3 linked regions of the Nothobranchius furzeri genome follow. The protein of the gene in region 1 interacts with the protein of each later gene in a biochemical or structural test. Links are inferred from orthologs where the notes say so. Each region holds a gene or a part of one and is shown in the gene's direction. Other genes may lie near its edges.

The links. The genes of interacting proteins can lie anywhere in the genome.
Region 2: of the proteins of claspin (region 1) and cdc7, one has a biochemical effect on the other in vitro, tested with the Homo sapiens proteins (3 studies listed by BioGRID, with this or other methods). The link is inferred for Nothobranchius furzeri from reciprocal best matches to the Homo sapiens genes CLSPN and CDC7.
Region 3: of the proteins of claspin (region 1) and usp20, one has a biochemical effect on the other in vitro, tested with the Homo sapiens proteins (2 studies listed by BioGRID, with this or other methods). The link is inferred for Nothobranchius furzeri from reciprocal best matches to the Homo sapiens genes CLSPN and USP20.

Annotation. Positions count from the first base shown.
Region 1 is NC_091759.1:26,751,195-26,759,335, forward strand, and holds the start of claspin, read left to right. Parts: upstream 1-3,923; 5' UTR 3,924-4,058; coding exon 4,059-4,085; intron 4,086-4,681; coding exon 4,682-4,790; intron 4,791-4,866; coding exon 4,867-5,189; intron 5,190-5,270; coding exon 5,271-5,417; intron 5,418-5,533; coding exon 5,534-5,593; intron 5,594-5,673; coding exon 5,674-5,746; intron 5,747-5,825; coding exon 5,826-5,928; intron 5,929-8,141.
Region 2 is NC_091751.1:71,608,989-71,615,850, forward strand, and holds the end of cdc7 (cell division cycle 7-related protein kinase), read left to right. Parts: intron 1-468; coding exon 469-562; intron 563-671; coding exon 672-814; intron 815-1,011; coding exon 1,012-1,285; intron 1,286-1,388; coding exon 1,389-1,496; intron 1,497-1,690; coding exon 1,691-1,845; intron 1,846-1,947; coding exon 1,948-2,030; intron 2,031-2,136; coding exon 2,137-2,286; intron 2,287-5,412; coding exon 5,413-5,810; 3' UTR 5,811-6,479; downstream 6,480-6,862. Other genes in the region: glmna (glomulin, FKBP associated protein a), read right to left, coding at 6,572-6,661, 6,726-6,796. UniProt on the Homo sapiens protein: Kinase involved in initiation of DNA replication. Phosphorylates critical substrates that regulate the G1/S phase transition and initiation of DNA replication, such as MCM proteins and CLASPIN.
Region 3 is NC_091746.1:62,087,235-62,094,754, reverse strand, and holds part of usp20 (ubiquitin carboxyl-terminal hydrolase 20), read left to right. Parts: coding exon 1-35; intron 36-481; coding exon 482-563; intron 564-2,934; coding exon 2,935-3,043; intron 3,044-3,129; coding exon 3,130-3,232; intron 3,233-3,314; coding exon 3,315-3,383; intron 3,384-7,520.

The DNA of each region.
Region 1 (8,141 bases):
ACACATGCATGTGTGGCGTTAGCATGTTGTTCCTATACACATACATGTGTGGAGTTAGCATTTTCTCTTCCTACATGTGTGTCATTAGCATGTTGTTCCTATACACACACATGTGTGTCATTAGTATGTTGTCCCTATACACATACATGTGTGGCGTTAGCATGTTGTCCCTATACACATACATGTGTGGAGTTAGTATTTTCTCTTTCTACATGTGTGTCGTTAGCATGTTGTCCCTATACACACGCATGTGTGGTGTTAGCATGTTGTCCCTATACACATACATGTGTGGAGTTAGTATTTTCTCTTTCTACATGTGTGTCGTTAGCATGTTGTCCCTATACACACACATGTGTGGCGTTAGCATGTTGTCCCTATACACATACATGTGTGGAGTTAGTATTTTCTCTTTCTACATGTGTGTCGTTAGCATGTTGTCCCTATACACACGCATGTGTGGTGTTAGCATGTTGTCCCTATACACATACATGTGTGGAGTTAGCATTTTCTCTTCCTACATGTGTGTCATTAGCATGTTGTTCCTATACACACGCATGTGTGTCATTAGTATGTTGTCCCTATACACATACATCTGTGGAGTTAGTATTTTCTCTTCCTACATGTGTGTTGTTAGCATGTTGTTCCTATACACATACATGTGTGGCGTTAGCATGTTGTTCCTATACACATACATGTGTGTCGTTAGCATGTTGTCCTTATACACATGCATGTGTGTCGTTAGCATGTTGTCCATATACACATACATGTGTGGAGTGAGCATGTTCTCTTCCTACATGTGTGTCGTTAGCATGTTGTCCCTATACACACACATGTGTGGAGTTAGCATGTTGTCCCTATACAACCACATGTGTGGCGTTAGAATTTTTTCTTCCTACATGTATGTCTTTAGCATGTTGTCCCTATACACACACATGTGTGGAGTTAGCATGTTCTCTTCCTACATGTGTGTCATTAGCATGTTGTTCCTATACACACGCATGTGTGTCGTTAGTATGTTGTCCCTCTACACACACATGTGTGGTGTTAGCATGTTGTCCCTATACACATACATGTGTGGAGTGAGCATGTTCTCTTCCTACATGTGTGTCATCAGCATGTTGTCCCTATACACATACATGTGTGGAGTGAGCATGTTCTCTTCCTACTTGTGTGTCGTTAGTATGTTGTCCCTATACACATACATGTGTGTCATTAGTATGTTGTCCCTATACACATACATGTGTGGAGTGAGCATGTTCTCTTCCTACGTGTGTCATTAGCATGTTGTCCCTATACACATACATGTGTCGTTAGTATGTTGTCCCTATACACATACATGTGTGTCGTTAGTATGTTGTCCCTATACACATACATGTGTGTCATTAGCATGTTGTCCATATACACATACATGTGTGTCGTTAGTATGTTGTCCCTATACACATACATGTGTGGAGTGAGCATGTTCTCTTCCTACTTGTGTGTCATTAGCATGTTGCCCCTATACACATACATGTGTCGTTAGTATGTTGTCCCTATACACATACATGTGTGTCGTTAGTATGTTGTCCCTATACACATACATGTGTGTCATTAGTATGTTGTCCATATACACATACATGTGTGGAGTGAGCATGTTTTCTTCCTACATGTGTGGCGTTAGCATGTTGTCCTTATACACACACATGTGTGGAGTGAGCATGTTTTCTTCCTACATGTGTGGCGTTAGCATGTTGTCCTTATACAACCACATGTGTGGCATGTAGAGGTGGGAAAAATGATCGATTCTCAGATGCATCGCATTCAGCCGTGCATGATTCTGCATCAATGCAGCAACATGACATAATGAGATTTTCTCCCTATGTCTATGTCTATGTCTATGTCTATGCAGGACAATAAAGTTTTGAGGTTTTACAATTACTTCTGGGGGCAGAGTTGCAATGACATGCGCACTGCGTTGCCCTAGCGCCAGTTTAAAACAGAAAAGGCGGACAGGGACACAGGGCCAACATTACCAGTAATCAAATATGTACCCGTTACATTTAAATCGGATGTCTGGGCTAATTTCTGTTTTGGGATCCTGGATGTGAAAGAATCACTTAACACAGTATTTGTTTACTATTTTTAAGTTCAGTAATATTCTATCTTAAAGCTGCTCTACCGAAAACATTATTTCTTATATTATTTAAGTAATTATAGGCAGCACACTTTAAACATTATTGCTCACTATAGTGAATAGATGAATGTTCTGTTTTTCAGGGATTTCAAAATCAAAAAGAAATTGAAAACTATTCTACTGCTTTTACTAAGTAATGAAAACTTTTGTGTGAAGAATCGTGATTCATTTCAGACTCAAATCGAATCGTTAGGCAGATAATCGGAATCGGATCGAATCGTGAGGCAGGTAGAGATGCACACCACTAGTGGCAAGGCAGCTTTATTTATATAACACATTTCAAACACAGGGGCGTTACCATTAGCATGAAATGGCATGATAACAAACAGGTGGTGTTAGCATGTTGTCAGCATGACATGATCACACCGCCCATCCCTGCCGTGTGATTTCTGTCCAGTCCTCATGGCTGATGATGTGTTAACTCGGCCCCAAACACAAGAGAACGAACAACTGAAGGTCAAAAGGGAAAATGTGAAGCCTCTAACATCAACAGCAAGGGGGGAGAAGCTTCATCCTTTAGGTAGGTTTTCTTATTTGAGTTGTCACACTGAGCTCTATTTGGTGTTTTATTGGATTCAATTAAAGATCCTGAACACCCTGAAGTTAAGGAGCCTACCTTGGTCTGAGTCAGAGACTGGGATGGCATGGATTCTGGAAAAACAAGAGAATCTAAAATGCAGACAAAAACAGCATTATGACAAGACCACAAGGGCACTTAGACTGCTTACAAAGGATGATGTGGTGAGAGGCCAAGATCAAAATGCATGGAGCAGAAACGCCATTGTTCCTCAGTAAGCTGACCCAAGATCATATGAAGTAAGACCTGAAGGTCGTAAACTCAGAAGGTACCGTCATAATCTGCTGAAGAGCAAAGACGCCTTTTAGGAGGAACAATGTGGTGAGAAGGCAAGCTGTTGTGGCTCAAGCAGAGATGGTGCCTGCCATAGGAGGACATGAAAAGCAGAGGAAAGTGATGTCTCTCCAGGACCTGTGTTGAGGAGGTCAGCGTACCACCAGAAACCAGTCGGGGTTCATCTATTGTCGTATTTCTATGTTGAGCGTACTGCAGAGAGAGGGGTGAGATTCTTCTAACGCACGGTCGTGCACTCGAGCCTGCGCACGTGCCCAAGTGCACTTACAGAAGACCCGGAGACCGCAGATTCAGGCTTGTACTGTTTTGAGACAGCGACCTCTAAAGGATCAACGTGTAACTGCAACTGCAGATTCAAGCTTAACCGTTATTTATAAATAATATGTAATTGTCGGTGAAGCTTATTAAAATAGTTTATTCGTTGTTAACGCTTCAGTGAAGTAGTTCTCAGAATACAAATTTGAAAATTCCTGAGTAAATTTTAATAATAAAAGCTTTTATCATATTTATTTAATTGAAGTTGTTTGTAGAAACAAAAATAAAAAACTTTCCGATCGTACTCCATCTTGGAACGCTAGCTAACAGTGGGCGGCGCTGTCTCAAAAACAGTACAAGCCTGAATCCTGTGGGGCGCAGCAAACTTAGCCGCCCGCCTGCGCAGCGCTGGTGGATGTTTTAATTCCTCCACTAACTGTGTCGTCACACTGGGCGGATACCTCCGTCACAGATGGTCCAATAGCAGGGCGAGAAGCGCTGGACTGACAGCTCGCTGGTGAAAGACCGCGGGCCAGCTGTCACGGCGCGCGAAAGTGTAAACTTTGTGTTCGGTGAGCGGGTGAGGCGGGAGGAAGCGGAGCTGTCCGGTAAAACGCGGCCTAGCTGTTCGGTAAGGAGCTGCAGTAGAGTTCTTTTCACGGACACGTTGTTCTCGGTGTCGGTAGCGGCTGTAGCCGTTAGAGGAGCGGACGGAGCCTCGTCCCTGCCGGGAGCGGGCGGACCAACCGGAGCACAAAGATGAGCCTTGTCCTGTCTCACCTGCAGGTAAAGACGCTAGCAGGCGGCGTCAGTGGAAGGTGTACAGACAGGTACATGTGAGACAGGTGTGTGTTCAGCGTGCTGGAGGGAAACGTCACCAACAAGGTGCTAAGGTGCTGTTAGCCGCTTAGCTGCTAACACCGAGGAATCGGTTCTTCCGTTCACCTCGTTCTAATTCGGTAGAGCTCCGTTAAAAAGTCACATCAAACAGTCCGAAGGTCCGGTAGCCGTTACCGGACAGCTGGGCGTTCGGTCCGACACGGTTATCCAGCTGTGACGTTGATTCATTGTTTTACTGACCGAAGGCGCCATGAATCCGGCTAGCAGCTGGTCTGGGATCAGCTAGTCCGCCTTGACCCAGACCGTGTTTCTGATCAGGACTGGTCCCAGACCAGTGTCTCTCTGTGGCCCGGAAACCAGTCCGAACCAGGTCAAACGGCTCTGGTGTGAGAGGTGGAACAGCTACGGGTTCTAGACCCGGTTCTCACACACACACACACACACGCACACACACACACACACACACACACACACACACACACACACACACACACACACACACACACACACACACACAGGCTCTGAAGTCTGTCTCTCTTCAGACTGAGGCGTTGGCCCGAGCAGCACCACAGAGCCACTGGGACAGCGGGATGGGTCCTCCTGCAGAGGAGGAGGTCCCAGAGACGTCTGATAGAGGAGATGAGTGTCCAGGTGAGACAGACCTGCTGCAGGACGCTCGTGGACAATCAGGAGAAACCGTGGTCCCCTAAATCAGTTTTTCTCTCAGATTCAGATGATGACATCACAGTTCACAGGAAGCCTCGGCGTAACGCCATCAGAGACAGTGACAGTGAGGAAGAGGAGGCACCAAGACGCCTGGAGCTGTCTGAAGAAGCGGTACCTGCCTCTAGTGAGGACGAAGAGAGGAGGAATAAAGGAGGACAGAGGAGCAACAGAAAGGCTCGTGCATCTGATGGTAGCGATGGAGAGCACGAGGAAGAGGAGGAGAATAAAAGAGAGAAGAGTCAAAGGCATCGAAAGAAGAAAGAAAAACGCAGCAAAGTGGTGGAAAGCCTGAAAAGGAGAAGGAGGTCTGGTGGAGGAGAGGAGGTGAGTTCCGTCTGAAATTTTCATCCAAATAAATCCAGAAATCTTAAAAATAAACTGGTCACCTTTTGCTCTTTCCATCAGGACGTTCCTCTTCCTCCAGCGCTGAACGACAGCGGCTGTCCTCTGGGTGATCCAGAGCTGTTTAGCACCGGTCTGGAGGAGGAGGAGGAGGAGGAGTCTCTGGACGCCATCAGAGCTGCGGTCAGACAGAAAGTGAAGAAACACAAAGTAAGAACAAGATGTTTACGTCACTCTGACCCTAACTCCGCTCGTGTTCTGGATGAGAAGAGTCCGGACGTGTTTCAGGAGGAAGTTTTGACTAAACTTGTTAAATGTGACTGTAGGACCCCCTCCTGGAGGAAGAGGAGGAGGATGAAGAGGTCCCAGAGAAGCCCCAGCGAGCGGTAGGATACAGCACCACGTTAGACCAGGTAGACGACTCGGACTGAAGGTAGAATAAACTGATTGTCTCTGGGGGCTCCAGGAACGGAAAGCAGCTCGAGCCAGCAAGGAGGCGATGAAGCAGCTTCACAGTGAGAGCCAGAGGCTGGTCCGAGGTCAGTTCCCCTGGCTCTGCTCTGCTTTAGCTGCAGGGGTTTGATCTGCAACACGCTAAACGTTTCTCTGCGTCTGTAGAGTCGACGCTTGGGTTGCCATACCACATCCCTGAACCCAAAACCATCGAGCAGTTCTTCAAGAGGAGGACCCGGCCGGAGGGATCGGCCATGGCGCTGCTGAAGTAAACAGTAACAACTAGTAGCCCTGCGTTGGCGCGGCCCTGGGTTGGGTCGACGCGGCCCTGGGTTGGGTTGGGTCGACTCGGCCCTGGGTTGGGTTGGGTTGACGCGGCCCTGGGTTGGGTTGGGTTGACGCGGCCCTGGGTTGGGTTGGGTCGACGCGGCCCTGGGTTGGGTTGGGTCGACGCGGCCCTGGGTTGGGTCGACGCGGCCCTGGGTTGGGTTGGGTCGACGCGGCCCTGGGTTGGGTCGACGCGGCCCTGGGTTGGGTTGGGTCGACGCGGCCCTGGGTTGGGTTGGGTCGACGCGGCCCTGGGTTGGGTCGACGCGGCCCTGGGTTGGGTCGACGCGGCCCTGGGTTGGGTTGGGTCGACGCGGCCCTGGGTTGGGTCGACGCGGCCCTGGGTTGGGTCGACGCGGCCCTGGGTTGGGTCGACGCGGCCCTGGGTTGGGTTGGGTCGACACGGCCCTGGGTTGAGTCGATGCGGCCCTGGGTTGGGTCGACGCGGCCCTGGGTTGGGTTGGGTCGACGCGGCCCTGGGTTGGGTTGGGTCGACGCGGCCCTGGGTTGGGTTGGGTCGACGCGGCCCTGGGTTGGGTTGACGCGGCCCTGGGTTGGGTTGACGCGGCCCTGGGTTGGGTTGGGTCGACGCGGCCCTGGGTTGGGTTGGGTCGACGCGGCCCTGGGTTGGGTTGGGTCGACGCGGCCCTGGGTTGGGTCGACGCGGCCCTGGGTTGGGTTGACGCGGCCCTGGGTTGTGTTGGGTCAACGCGGCCCTGGGTTGGGTTGGGTCGACGCGGCCCTGGGTTGGGTCGACGTGGCCCTGGGTTGGGTTGGGTCGACGCGGCCCTGGGTTGGGTCGACGCGGCCCTGGGTTGGGTCGACGCGGCCCTGGGTTGGGTTGGGTCGACGCGGCCCTGGGTTGGGTTGGGTCGACGCGGCCCTGGGTTGGGTTGGGTCGACGCGGCCCTGGGTTGGGTTGGGTCGACGCGGCCCTGGGTTGGGTTGGGTCGACGCGGCCCTGGGTTGGGTTGGGTTGGGTCGACGCGGCCCTGGGTTGGGTTGGGTCGACGCGGCCCTGGGTTGGGTTGGGTCGACGCGGCCCTGGGTTGGGTCGACGCGGCCCTGGGTTGGGTTGGGTTGACGCGGCCCTGGGTTGGGTTGGGTCGACGCGGCCCTGGGTTGGGTTGGGTCGACGCGGCACTGGGTTGGGTCGACGCGGCCCTGGGTTGGGTTGGGTCGACGCGGCCCTCGGTTGGGTTGGGTCGACGCGGCCCTGGGTTGGGTTGACGCGGCCCTGGGTTGGGTTGACGCGGCCCTGGGTTGGGTTGGGTCGACGCGGCCCTGGGTTGGGTTGGGTCGACGCGGCCCTGGGTTGGGTCGACGCGGCCCTGGGTTGGGTTGGGTCGACGCGGCCCTGGGTTGGGTCGACGCGGCCCTGGGTTGGGTCGACGCGGCCCTGGGTTGGGTTGGGTCGACACGGCCCTGGGTTGGGTCGATGCGGCCCTGGGTTGGGTCGACGCGGCCCTGGGTTGGGTTGGGTCGACGCGGCCCTGGGTTGGGTTGGGTCGACGCGGCCCTGGGTTGGGTTGACGCGGCCCTGGGTTGGGTCGATGCGGCCCTGGGTTGGGTCGACGCGGCCCTGGGTTGGGTTGGGTCGACACGGCCCTGGGTTGGGTCGATGCGGCCCTGGGTTGGGTCGACGCGGCCCTGGGTTGGGTTGGGTCGACGCGGCCCTGGGTTGGGTTGGGTCGACGCGGCCCTGGGTTGGGTTGACGCGGCCCTGGGTTGGGTTGACGCGGCCCTGGGTTGGGTTGACGCGGCCCTGGGTTGGGTTGGGTCGACGCGGCCCTGGGTTGGGTCGACGCGGCCCTGGGTTGGGTTGACGCGGCCCTGGGTTGTGTTGGGTCGACGCGGCCCTGGGTTGGGTTGGGTCGACGCGGCCCTGGGTTGGGTCGACGCGGCCCTGGGTTGGGTCGACGTGGCCCTGGGTTGGGTTGGGTCGACGCGGCCCTGGGTTGGGTCGACGCAGCCCTGGGTTGGGTCGACGCGGCCCTGGGTTGGGTCGACGCGGCCCTGGGTTGGGTTGGGTCGACGCGGCCCTGGGTTGGGTTGGGTCGACGCGGCCCTGGGTTGGGTTGGGTCGACGCGGCCCTGGGTTGGGTCGACGCGGCCCTGGGTTGGGTTGGGTCGACGCGGCCCTGGGTTGGGTTG
Region 2 (6,862 bases), on another chromosome or scaffold:
TTGCCTAGTATGAGGATTGCTGTATAGTCACTGACACTAGTCAGTGACTTGATGTGACCTGCTGGGTTCCTTATATAGGAAACTTGTTACTGATTGGCTTAATGACCTGACCTGTATGTTTACCGTGTGCAGGTCCTTGAGACGACTCTTGTCGTGATTTGGCGCTTTATAAACAAACTTGAACTGAATTGAATCCTCCATTTATTCGCGGGGAGTTTGTGTTCAGTACTCGTGCAATATCCGATGAACATTAGTATCTGTGTGTCCCTGAAGCGGTGTAGTTCTGGAAACCCAAGTTTCCGTTGCACTCACTGTTTTTAGTGGTTGAAGGTTACCATAACGTGTGTTTACCTGTAATCTTGTTACTTTTCTTCCTCTTCTCTAAGTGCTGCAGCAGCAAGTGAATTCCCTACCGTGGGATCGATAAACCACTCTATTCTAGAAAGTGATCATTTGTTGTTCCTGCAGAGGCAGAGAGAACGTTATGGGTGTGACCTACTGCTTCAGGAGAGAGGACCATGTGGTGATCGTAATGCCTTACATGGAGCACCAAGCCATTGTGGTATGTAAGCAGTCACCTTCCACCTTCTTCCTAACCTTTATTTGTTCCCTGCAACTAGAATCTGAGTTTCTGTTGCTGTTCCTCTGATTTCATCCCAAACCTTTCCCAGGATGTCATTGGGTCCATGAGGTTTGAGGAGGTCCATCTGTACATCTACCACCTGCTGAAGGCCCTGAAACACATCCACCAGTTTGGGATCATCCATCGGGACATCAAACCCAACAATTTCCTCTACAACAGGAAGAGTAAAACGTGTGTCTTCCTCTGGAGGACTTCCTGGTTTCATCCTGATGATTAGAGTAAAAGTCGTGTTCATCCAGTTAAATGATCTTTGTCCCGGCGTGTTTCAGCATTACCTGAGTCTGAGTCACTCTACGGATCCTATAGAGCATCTGGAGAATACAGCGGTGGATGCTCTGTAACGGTGGTTTTCTCCTGTACCTGTGCAGGTACGCCCTGGTGGACTTCGGCCTGGCTCAGGGGACCGCCGACACCCAGATCCAGCTGCTGAAGGCGGTGAGACAGAAAGGTGGACAGGAAGCTGCTCGGCGGAGCAAAGCTCCACCTAAACTCCCTCCTAAAACTTCACTCCCTCTGGCCGTGACACCTCCTGTTCCTCCTCCCTCCTCCTCCCCCTCCACCTCCTCCACCTCAGCCCCGGGGAAGTCTCTGGTTAAAAAAGCTCGTTCTGCCTCCTCCTGCTCACGAACAAAACACACAAAGGTGTCTTGCTGATGTTTGTCTGCCTTCTCACTCGTCTCTAGTGTGGAGCAGAAGGCTCACTGTGACTGGGTGGCTGTTTTCTGGCTTTTCTTGTTAAATGCAGGATTTGGCAGGACTCTGTAAAGCTCCACGACCCGTGTTCGGAGAAAGGAATCTGAACAGCCGCATGCTTGTCCCGTCCACCACGAAGCAAACTGCTCATGATGAAGAGGTGAGGAAGCCCTCAGGAGGATCCCACCCAGCTGTCTCTTTCCAGTGTTTCTTATCCGAGGGCGCCATCTAGTGGCTGACGAGCATATCACACAAATAGTTTCTCCTGTTTTTCTAAGATGGCAACTTCATGTTTCTAGTTGATAAATTTGCTTCTGCACTAACAAACAACACACATTTATCCCTTATCTCAAGCTGGTCAAGCCTCAGAGGACTGAGGGTGCGCCGCACCGGGCCGTACTTCCTGTCAAAGCCCAGAGCAGCAGTCAGAAAGCCCCCAGGAGCTTACAGCAGGGCCTCACCTGTAACTGCTACCTGACCGACCGCGTCTGCAACATCTGCATGGCCAGGTGACATAAACCATTTCACACTTTCATCCCGTCATCATAAAGAAAGAACATTCCCATCACTCATTCGTGCTTTTGTGTCCGTGTTCCTGTTTGTGACTGAAGGAAGCAGCAGGTAGCTCCCAGAGCAGGAACTCCAGGGTTCAGAGCTCCAGAGGTCCTCACCAAGTGTCCCAACCAAGGCACAGGTCAGCAGCTCCAGCCTTCTCCTGTAGCTCTGCTGCTGAGGCTACTGGGATGTTAGAAAGTCCAGTAACACCAGTACGTGTCCCAACTGTTCCCTCTCCCCTGCAGCCATCGACATGTGGTCTGCCGGTGTGATCCTGCTCTCCCTCCTCAGTGGGCGGTACCCATTCTTTAAGGCCAGTGACGACCTTCTCGCTCTGACACAGATCATGACTATAAGAGGCTCCAGAGAGACCATCCGCGCTGCTAAAACGTTCGGTATGAACGTGTTTTGCTTCTTAAAAAGACTCGTCATTTTCGTCAGAGGTATACCTAAAACTACGAGCGACAAAGTGAGGAAAACAAATCTAGAAAATCACATTTTCTGATGTTTAAAGAATTCTTTTGCTAATTATGGTGGAAATTAAGTATTTGGTCTCCTATAAACAAGCAGCATATGTGGCTCTCACAGACCTGCATTAACGAGCCCATGTTGGAACTCATCATCACTATAAAAGACACCTGTCCACAACCCAACAGTCGCACTGTCCAAGAACAAAGAGCCGACACCAGAAACCAGGCTGTAGAGCTGCACCTGGCTGGGAGGACTGGATCTGCAGCAGCTAAGCAGCTTGATGTGAACAAATCCATCGTGGGAGCGACTGTCAGAAAGTGGAAGATGTGCACGCGCACCTGTGTGACGTTTGCTAGAGAGCATTTGGACGACCCAGAAGAGGACTGGGAGAATATCGTCGTCAGGTGAAACCAAAACGGAACATTTTGGTAAAACTTGTTTACTCGTTGCGTTTGGAGGAGAAAGAATGCTGAGTTTCATCTAAAGAACACCATACCTACTGTAAAGCATGGGGGTGGAAGCATCATGCTTTAGAGCTGTTTTTTCTGCAGAGGCACCAGGATGACTGGTCTGTGTAAGGGGAAGAATGAATGGGGCTATGTATCGTCAGGTTTTGAGTGAAAGCCTTCCATCAGCAACGGCACTGAAGATGAAACATGGTTGGGTCTTCCGGCGTGACGATGATCCCAAACCCGAGCCGTATGTGCCGCACGTAGCACCACCTATTTCTCTCAAAGAAGCCAAGGCCTTCCCCAGAGCTAGCTGCTAATGCTAGCTCTGACGCTCAGCTGCATGTCAATCAAATCTAATTATTCATCATTAAAGCGTTAATTACACCTAAATAGAAGAGTTACAAAATAATTCAGAGTTGTCGTGACTAAACTCGATCTCCACTCGTCTATTTTCGGCCGCTTATCCGGGATCAGGTCATGGGGGCAGTAGCCTGAGCAGGGAGGCCCACTTTCCTCTCCCCAGCCACTTGGACCAGCTCCTCCGGGGAGTCCCAAGGGTAGGAACGCAGATCCACCGGTAAATCCAGAGCTTTGCCTTCTGGTTCAGCTCTCTCTTCACCACGACAGACCGGTGGAACGCCCGCATCACTGCAGACGCAGCACCAATCCACCCGTCGATCTCACGCTCCAGCTTTCCCTCACTCGTGAACAAGCTGGCTAAACTAGATCTATTAATCCTGAAATGGTTTTTAATCCGTCCCGTAAACGTGTTTATTTCTCTTTGAACTTGGCATTTTTAAAGTGACAACGTGTTGTTTTACCTTTAATCTCCATCGAAATGTTGTTGAAGATGAATAAAAAGATGTCTGGTGGCTTCATAACATATAAGCATAAAAATGAAGTTTAAAGTACATACCGTGTGGGTCTAGCGTCTTTAAGGGACGCCATATTTCCTTCTGGCCGGCTCGGGGTCGAGTACTTGTCGATGGCGTCACATTAGGTGATTGCAGGATGTACGACTTACGGAAGTTACGTTACACGTTCAAAAACACTTAGATATGAAAAACATGGATTCAATAACAAAACAGCTAAGCTCTTTCCAAAGCCTATGTGAAAGAACAGAATCAAAGGAGAGGAAATATATTTTGACTGACCGGTATTGCCGTAGTTTGACGCCGCTACCGGCAGGCGCAGGACCCCGAGCAGATCGAGAAACTACAGGGCCCAGTGGAACTAACCAAAGTCTGAGTTACGCCGAGGTTGCGTTCTTTCTGCTCCGCAGGTAACATTTACCGTACCTAGCAACAGTCACGGCGATTGGGCGTAAAGCTACCCTGAAATGTATGAATTGCCTCCTATCGCCAGGAGATTGCACGCTGCCACTTTAACATGGGAGTCGGTGAGGGTTTCCCTTAGCCTGGCAGGCCAGACTAAATAAATGTATTATGTAGTCTGGCCACGCTCCACTGACGGCTCTCGGTTGTGGGGCGGGTTCTACTGTTGTCTTTCAAATGATCTCTGCATGCCACTGGACAATGATTGTGACATACTCACCGCAACAGCTATCGGTAAATGAGGCGGTCCGCAGTTGAAGAAGGGGAAAACACATCATTTTTTCTAAAAAAGCTCTTAAATACATCTATCTGCTCCTGATTCTGATGAAGCCAGAGTTCTAATAGTCCAACATGGATGTAAAAGCCGTTTCAAACGAGCTGTCGCCATCTTGTTTCCCTCTGTTGCATCATCCCACCCACCAGGCATATAGAGTGCCCTGATTGGCCCACAAAGCAGATAAAGCTCTGTCATTTGTTCACTAAGCAGATAGAGCACTATGATTGGCCCACCATTATGGACCAATCACAGCTCTTTGTGTTTGAAACCCCTCTAGAGAGCTGTGATTGGCCAGCCAGAATGCTGTTGGGGCTGCAGAGGTTCCAGTGGAGCGTTCCTAGACCAGTTTGGTCTAGTTCGCTAGGCTAAGTTTGCCCTGCTTTAGATCCAGCCCCTTGTGGATGAGTGTGGAACTGCAACTTTGTCACTTCTGTGTTGGCTTCATAGATTAAAATAAGCGATTTCCCGTTGTTCCGAACACACCGCTCGAGTAACGAAGCGGTGGCGTAAGCATTTCAGGGTCCTGGAGTGGCCTAGCCAGTCTCCAGATCTCAGCTCCACAGGAAATCTTTACTGGGAGTTGGGCCCAGCGACAGACCCAAACATCACTGCTCTAGAGGAGATCTGCATGGAGGAATGGGCCAAAATACCAGCAACAGTGTGTGGAGACTCAGAGAACGTTTAACCCATGTCATCGCCAACAAAGGGTGTACAACGGCGTACTGAAATGGACTTTTGTTCCTCACCAAATACTTTTTTCCAACATAATTTGCAAATAATTTCTTTAAAATCAGACGATGTTATTTCCTGGATGCTTTTTCTCATGTTGTCTCTCATAGTTGAGGTATAGCCATGATGAAAGTTCATCTTCATCAGAGGGAGAACGCGTAGCTGGAGGCTTTGCCCCACTGTAGTCTCTGAATACAAACCTAGCATGGTGTTGTTGGGGTTCAGGATCCAGATCCATGTTGGAACTTGTTGTTTCAGGGAAGGCGGTGGTGTGCAGTCGGGAGCTTCCTCGTCAGGACCTCAGAGCCCTGTGTGAGATGCTTAGAGGCAGGAGGTCAACGCTAGAGGGTGATGATGATGATGTCACCCCAGCTGCAGAGGTCAACGTGGGTCAGAGTTGGCGTCAGACTGGAGATGGGACTCCTGCCTCTCAAGCCGCTGACCGGACACGCAAAGATGGATCAGGAGAACAATCAACCTGCAGTAAAACAGCTGGTCCCACAACACGGCCCAGCGACGAGGAAGGAGACCAGCGGGGCTGGGACAACGTTCCTGATGAGGCCTACGACCTCCTGGATCAGCTGCTGGACCTGAACCCTTCAACCAGAATCACAGCCGCTGCTGCGCTGCAGCACCCGCTTTTCAAGGACCTGTGAGACCAGAACGAGCTCCAGGAGCTGCTCCGTAACCTCGTTCACCATGAACTTCCTTCAGTCCTTCACAATACGCCTCAAACACATCAGACGTGTGAAGCCGATCATTTAGTTTACTATAACGGTCGTTCCCCGGCGAAAGTCCTGGTGCCGTCTAGAGATTTGGGATTGAGAGGAATCACAAATGAAGCCGTCATGCCTGGGCGAGTGGTGACCTTTTGGTTCAGACCTCCTCTGGGAAGGACTTCGGACTTCCTGGACGTTCAGGCTGCAGCAGAAGTTTGACCAGAATAAACTAAAAGCTTCTGATGCTTTTAGGTATGTGAGACCGTTTTAGACTCTTATTGTGAAGGATTGGAGGAAGTTCTTTAATGTCCTGATGAAGAAGTCAGTTCTGGGTGTGTTTTACTGAGCGGGCCACACCAGAACCAGTCAGCTAACGAAAGGCTCAGTGGCCCGGACAGACCAGCGCAGAGGTCTACGTGAAGTAGCTCCTTGATGTCTGAAAGCAGGAAGTTACTCAACAGCTGATGGACGAGGTTCTAAAGGTGTGAAAGGACTTTTATTTTGAAGGGGGACTGAGTTTTAACAGTGAGAACCGGATGAAATGTCCACGTTGTGTAAAAGACCACATCAGAATGTTTGTTTGGTGGTAATAAAGTTGTGATTTGAGTCAGATGTTTATTTTATATCACAGGAGGCAACATTTCTCATCATAAACCTGAAAAGTACGCAGCGCCACAAGCTGCAGGTCCTCTGGTGGTCTACACGCCGTCCTTCACCTCGGTGAGCTCCTCGACGCGCACCAACACACTCTCAATCATGTCGAAGGTGTGGAGGGCAGAGTGCAGCGCCTGAAAGAAGCCGTTTTCACTAACATCACCGTGACTGCTCGTGTCTGAGGAGGAAAACACCGACCTGAATCTGAGAGTCCGGCGTCATGCGGGGAAGCTTCTCCTCTCCGACAGAGACCGACAGAACCGAGCGGTCTGTGAAAAACAAACGGTGTCACAAGATGTCTGGGCTAAAAGCCCCGCTCTGGAGTCTGGCCTGAC
Region 3 (7,520 bases), on another chromosome or scaffold:
CATCAGCAATCACACGTTCCTCTGTCAGCACGGAGGTCTGTCTCAATCACCTCTCTGTGGTCACAACTGCGTCTGGTGTAATTTACACAACACACACAGGAAGTTCACAAGAAGTTCAGTTATGTTTTCAGTCGAGAACTGCCCCACAGGGAAAAACCAAGCGTGTGATGGAGAGCGCTCCAACCGAAGGGAGTCATCATAACCGACCATTTACCTTAGAATAAAGTTTTAAATGTAAAATCCAGCCATAAAAAAGCAGCTTGTGTAGCTTTTAAATGTTTCAGGGTGACACACTTTATAATTATCTTACTGCCATTTACTGAAATGAATAACATTTCTGTAACGTCCTACAAGTAAATTACAATGTTTGATTTTGTAGTTAAGAATAGCTTATTTAAAGACACGGAGCTTTTGAGTTGTTCTACAGGAACCCAGATAAATATTTGCTCTAAACGTTGTTGTTGCTTTGCTCTCCTCGCAGGTATTCCTCCTAATAAGTACCACTATATTGACGATTTAGTTGTGATCGTTCCTCAGAATGTGTGGGAATACCTTTACAACAGGTAAATATTAGCCCAGTGGTGTACTGTCTCACGTCGGTGTTTTCCTCTGTTGCTTTTCTGTTTAGGACTTTTTTGAATCTCAGCAGAAAGAAAGTAGGGATTTTACCACCACCATTAGATTTAGGGTATGGGTGGAAATCATCAATGGTTGTGGAAAAATATCTTTATTTTACCTTTAACTCTACGCAGTTTAAATATTAGTGAATGGACACATTTAAAGAGCAAGTCACCCCCTACCAGAGTATTACTCCACTCCCACTTCCTGTTTGAAAAATGCAACAAATGCTGTTGCCTAGCAGACCGAGAGGACAGAGCCGCTAACAAATACACACACACACAGGCTCACAACGACATTGTGACATCATATGGTACCAGCTAACATTCTAGGGTACCTCTTAGCCAATAGCAATGGCAGATTTTAGTTCAAATGCAGTGCAGAGTTTTTACCTGACAACGGCACAACACTGACAGTTTTAGGAAGAAAATTAAAAATTTAACTAAAATGCACTAAAGTGCAAAACTATTGACTACACGTGTGTGCAGCACGATTAGACACGCATTTATATAGTTTATCCGGAAAAAAAATGGTTGAGTTGGGGGTGACTTGCTCTTTAAATTTGCACTCTGTAGATTGTGACTTATACACCAGTGAGTGTTTCGCTCAAGGGCACTTAGGTACACTGCAGAGGATTGACATGAAAATATCCAATCATTCAGTTAGAAGATGAACTCACTTCTGGGCCTAAATCTGCCCATTTTTACCTAAACATTCAAAAGTGCTGTAAATAATGTTAAATTCTATTAGAAGATTAAAGGTATTAATTGCATCTCTTGATTTAGGCTCTTATTTCCATTCTTTTCTTGGCCTAATCTGTTTAACATGACATCTGAAGCCAATTAAGACTTTCTGAACGTTTTAATTAAATCCATCCAGGGATATTTAGCTTATGAGACTCCAGCAGTTAATGCTAACATTTTCTCTTGTCTGATAATTGCATTAGCATCTGATGGAAGACGCTCGGTTTAGAGAAGTCTAGCAGCTCTACGTCACAGTGTCACTTAACGTTAATGGACTCACCCATCTTGACTCGCAACAGGGAAGGCTGTTGTTAGTTAAGCGTTCAGGAAAATGTAGAGAACGTCTCGGCTAGTAGAAGCTAACTGTTAGCATTAGCAACTCCACCACACAGCAGAACTCCTTCAGGCTTGTGGTGTTTATAGAGATAAAACATCAACCTTGCAAAGTGGCCGGTGGTTGAGTCGCGTTGCTGTTAGTCAATCAGAGGAGAAATGTACAAATATCAGGAAATAAACAGGCCCATTGGAGCTTTATTCCCCCAGAGAACGACTCACAAGTCATTCATTCTTACTACAGACAACTGCAAATGTATTTAAATATAAGTAAAGTTGAGCTAAATTTCACCATTTTCTAATAAACTTTAAAAAAAAACACTTAAGACGTTTCTTTCAGCAACTAATTTTATTTAACTTCAGTTCAAATTCAGAAAAAAACTATTGACCCCAGAGGGAAATTAAATGTGTTTATAACTGATAAAACAATAATAACAACAATAAAATACTACCAACAGACCGGGAGCAGGAGATCGACAGGCGGATTGGTTCAGCGTCTGCAGTGATGCGGACGCTGCCTTGGTCTGCCTGTCGATCTCCTGCTCCCTCCTTCCTAGGGCTGGACAATAAATCGAAAATGTATCGTTATTGAAATTTCTGACTCTTATCGAGATAATTGTTCCCATGTCAATACATTTGATAATAAAAAGAAAGATGTGCGTAGGTTAGCAACGTTCATGTCCCTTTAAGAAGCTGTACCACCTCAAGTCACATAAAAATGTCTCAACGTAATACATGTGACAGCCCCAGCTAGTGCATACCTGTAGTTATCGTCCGTTTATCGTTATTGAGGTGAAATCCTCAAAATATCATGATATTAATTTTAGGCCATATTGCCCAGCCCTACTCCTTCCCTCACTCGTGAACAAGGCCTGAGGAACTTGAACTCCTCCACTTGAGGCAGGACCTCTCTCCCGACCCAGAGTTGGCAAGCCGCCCTTCTCCGAGTCTGAGAACCATGGTCTCAGACTCGGAGGTGCTGGTCCTCATCCCAGCCGCTTCACACTCGCCTGCGAACCTCCCCAGCAACAGCTGTAGGTCAGAGCCTGATGAGGAGGACCACATCATCTGCATAAAGCAGAGATGAGATTCTCCTGCCACCAAACTGGTGGCAAACAACATGTTCTTTAAGTTGTTGTGGGTGTAAATAATTTATCTCGATTATTTGGTTCATGACTGCTTTAATGGTTGTTTATGGTTGTTGTTAAGTGCGTGTGTGTGTTGGTTTGAATGTTTTCAGTTTTGGAGGGGGCCCAGCTGTCAACCACCTGTACATGTGCGCCATCTGTCAGGTGGAGATCGAAGCTCTTGCGAAACGTAGGAAAACCGAAATCGACACCTTCATCAAGGTGAACGCCTGCTCTCCAAAAGGGTTCGGCTTTCTGTGTAAATGCATCTCCAGTGCTTTGTGTGAGAGCTGCTGTTGTTGTTGTAGTTGAACAAAGAGTTCCAGGCTGAGGAGGCGCCGACGGTCATCCTGTGTATCAGCATGCAGTGGTTCAGAGAGTGGGAGGCCTTCGTCAAGGGCAAAGACAACGGTAAAAACACCAGAGTTAGCTTAGAAATCAGGATCTTTATCTGTCTCTGTTTACTAAATGATGTATTTTCCTTTTCTCCCAGAGCCACCAGGTCCTATTGACAACAGTAAAATTGGCGTTATGAAAGGAGGACACTTACAGCTGAAGCAAGGTAAAACACTACTGACAGAGAGGATTAAACGTTCCTAATCTCTCAAGAAGATTCCTCTGGGATTTTCAGCAGGAACTTTTCTCGATAGGAACAGAAGAACAGAACATGGAAAACAAGGGAAAAAAATCATTGAGATTCAATGAATTTTAAAAATATAGTACAAAGGAGAAAATATGCAAATATACCAGATAATATTGCACATCATGTGACCCCCCCCCCCCCCCCCAAATACTGGTAAAAATTACTTTTGTAATTCAAATTCAATTCAAAGATACTTTATTAACCCTCTGGGGTCCATGGACGCGTGTATGCGTCTTTTGAACAGGTCTGATTTGGGACGCTGTAGCAGCAAGACTCCGCCTCCCTGAGTTTCGCTTTCAATTCAGCTTTAAAAAGGAGATTATAAACTACACCCCAGTTTTTAAATTTTGTTAATAGGCAACGTAAAAGTGGAGTTATACTAAGCTAAAAAACGACCTATTTTTAGACAATCTGACTTGTCAAAACAGCAGTTTAGTAATCCGTGAGAGGGAATGTGCTTGTGAACATAAAAAACCCCACAAAAGCTTTATGACACGTCTCTAAATAAAGTAAAGATTTCTAGTGCAGAGAGGAGACAACCCATAGAAGCACTGATTTGATCTCATTTCAGAGAAAAATAGAACAGGTTAGATGCACCTAATAAATAAAATCACTAACAAACTCAGGAATCTGTTTCTTTGCTTCACTGTTCTGGTGCTGAGAATATCACTAATGCGGATAAAAGGAGATACACAGATGAATGCACCTCTTATTTATTGTTTGGAGACTACATTTACTGCAGCTGGCAGAGGCAGAGATTGTTTCTATTGATACGCGGAGTTTACAGAATCATTTTAATCGGGGAAGACTGCAGGAGGGAGCGGTAAAATACAGGGGGTCCCCAGCAAAAACAAGAAACTTTACGAGTCTGATGAAACCCGCTGGTTTTCCATCAGGCAGTCATGGGGCAGCTCCAACGACCCAGTGGCTGTGCTGGGTCAATGTTATCGAGCCCAGTCCGGCTCGGCAGAGGGTGAACGAGCCGAGGCGACGTCGTGCTCTGCTTAAGAAGAAGTGTTATTTTCCCGCTTCAGAAGAAGCGTCCAACGTGTTTTTACGCTTTCTCTGAGACATGTCACGTTGTCTGTACAGGATCTGCTCGGGTGCAAGATTGGCTCGGGGTCCGTCGACTGCCGATGACGTCTAAGTAGTTGATTGGCTGAACATGAACCTTACGGAATTACGTAATCACGTTACGTTGTTATCACGTTACGTTGGTCCAGGCAAATCTTTCTATTGGAAAGATGGACAACTTTTACAAAGAAATCCATCATTACCTCTTTGAAAATACACTTTTAGCATAGAGCTGCATGTATATTAGGGCTGAACGATTAACTGCATGTGCAATTAAATTGCGATGTGACAAAAGGAGATTTTCTAGTCGCAAAGGCTGCAATTTGGCAGCGAGTGGTTAGCGCAATGCTAATATACGTGGAAAAACCCATAGGAATGCTAATGCTAATATCGCCAATTACATTATTACAAATTATGAATTAGAAACATGCCAAATGATTACATTTGGAGTCTAATAGAAAGTAAAAATACCATCAATCAAATAAGTACAGACAGGTATTTTAGTAAAGCCAGAAATCTTTTAACTCCAGAGTTTTGGCTAGCAGCTATGAGTGTAACTGAACTACGCATGAACAAGACGTCAAAACTCTAAACACAAAATACTTCAATAAACGGGACACACTTCTTTCCTGCATATATAATTTCACAGGTGTTGCTAATACCTGTGATCCTTCAAGGGATGTGCTCAAAGAGGAGTTCAACATTATGAATAAAATATAGTGTTTTATTTTACAAATACCATTATAAACACAAACTTACGTCTTAAGAAACATTATTTTAATAACGAAACTGCTAAATTCTTTCCAAGAGTATAGATGTGTAGTGGATTTTGTCCGAGTGGGTTTGCCGTACTTTGACGTCATCGGCAGTCGAAGGACCCCGAGCCGATCTTGCACCCGAGCAGATCCTGTACCGACAACGTCGCTAAGTTGTTAGCGCGCAGCGCTAACACTTCAATAGTGCAGCGTAGCCTGCTGGAGGTTTTAAGGGTTCAGATGAAAACACCCGACCTCTCATGCTGCTCACACATCGATCTTAAGTTGTCGCTGTTGCGCTCACATCGTAATACAGTATTAGATGCGGTTAAAGTCAGACATGAAAAAATAAATAAATTTTACTTGAATAAGTGATGATTAGCCTGGTGGAGGGAGGAAAACCTGGCCTAATAAGCACTGGAGGAAACCCTGTCAAGATTGTCAACACTCGTTTATCTTAATGCTGTTGAAACATGTAAACCAAAAAGCATTATATCCACCGCTACCTTTCTAATTTTAAACTCAGTAACTTATGCTGTAACTTCACCTTGCCCTGCCTGCTCCTCCTTGCTGCCCGCCGGCTGTGATCACAAGCGACAACATAGTAGTTCCCGCTGCTTCTTCGGGAAACAGCGCAAAAAAAATAAAAATAAAACTTGGGATCTTGTAGGCGTGGCGGTGGGATTTCAGCCGTGGCAGACCGTCACAGCCACGCCTATGTAAGGGAAACCCTGCTGCAGTTTAGTAGGCTTTTATTAGGCTTCAATAAAGGATGATGAGAAATGTCCACCAGGCAGTTAAGCTGTTTTTTGAACTGGAAGCAGAGGAAGTGGACAGAGACTCACAGCCGGAGTCTGAGGCAAATAGGGAGGATGTTGATGACGATGTGGCAGATCCATCCTTCCTCATAGAAGAGTTGGGTCATGATGAGGTAGAGGATGAAGGCAGAGATACAGCTCCTCGGACACCCAACAAGAAGAGTGGGTGGCGCCACGTAGTCGTCAGATCTCGATCTCCGCTGCGTGAGACAGAGCCACTCCCCACTCCAAAATGCAAGTACATTATTGTCAAATTAATAAAATAAGTATAAATTCAGATAGTCCAGGTTGTCCTGAAAAAAAAAAAAGATACCCCATAAGGCAATATTTATTGTTTTTATTAGAAAATACAAAAGAAAAACCAAAATGAGTCAAAAATGGTGATTTACACTCCGGACCCCAGAGGGCTAATCATTTTTTTTTAAATTTGTTATTTGCTATATTTATTCATATTTTTTATAAATGTACAGTCTAGATTACCATTCTAAATCATAAAAAAACATTCGTCATAAATGTTTGTTGGTTTCACAGTAAAATAAGCAACTTTTTTCCAATTCGGAGTTTATGTTTTTGAGTGATTTAAGGTCTAATATGCAACCCCTTTATGTCCAAATATAAAAAATAAGTATAAATTTATAAAGTCCAGGTTGTGCTGAAAAGATCGATACCACATAAAGCAGTGGTTATGGTTTTTATTTTGGAAATACAAAGGAAAACTAAATTAGTCAAAAACGGCAAATTACACCCTGGACCCCAGAGGGTTAATCCCAGAGGGAAATTAGAGTTTCAGCACACACAATTCTGAGATCAGACATACATGGGCAAAGACACCTGACAAGAATTGGTGACTGTGGTCATTCGCAATCCGAGTCGCGCTACATGAGGATTGGATCAGGTGGAAGAAAAAAAAGGCACTTCAGAGTTACCCTCCACAGGGAGGGCAGCTTTGCTATGCAAAAACACCTCAGACAGAAATGCAACAGACTTCAGACACTACACAACATAAGTGTCCACTAGGTGGGGTGGTAGGGTTTTGGGACTCTCCACACGTCGTCAGCAGCAGCAGTGATAAGCAGCGCTCTTCACCTCAGTCTGGAAGGGGGTGGGAGGTCGTTGGGTTTACAGAGCACAGTGACTCCTGGAACGATTCAGTGGCCTTCACAGCTCGCAGTCCCGCCCAGGCTGGCATAGGGAGACAGAGTTGCCATGGCAACAGCAGCATTCCACATTTCTTTTGAGGGGGGCTATTCATTTCAGCCTCACAGGCTCAAGGGCACCAGATTCAGATAAGAAATTGTTTTGGGGCCCGACAGAAATAATTTCTTCTCTGTCTCAGAGTTCCACTGGTCCTCAACTTCTCAAAATCCAATAATGGCGTAGATTAATCTATCCCAATCTGTGCTGATTCG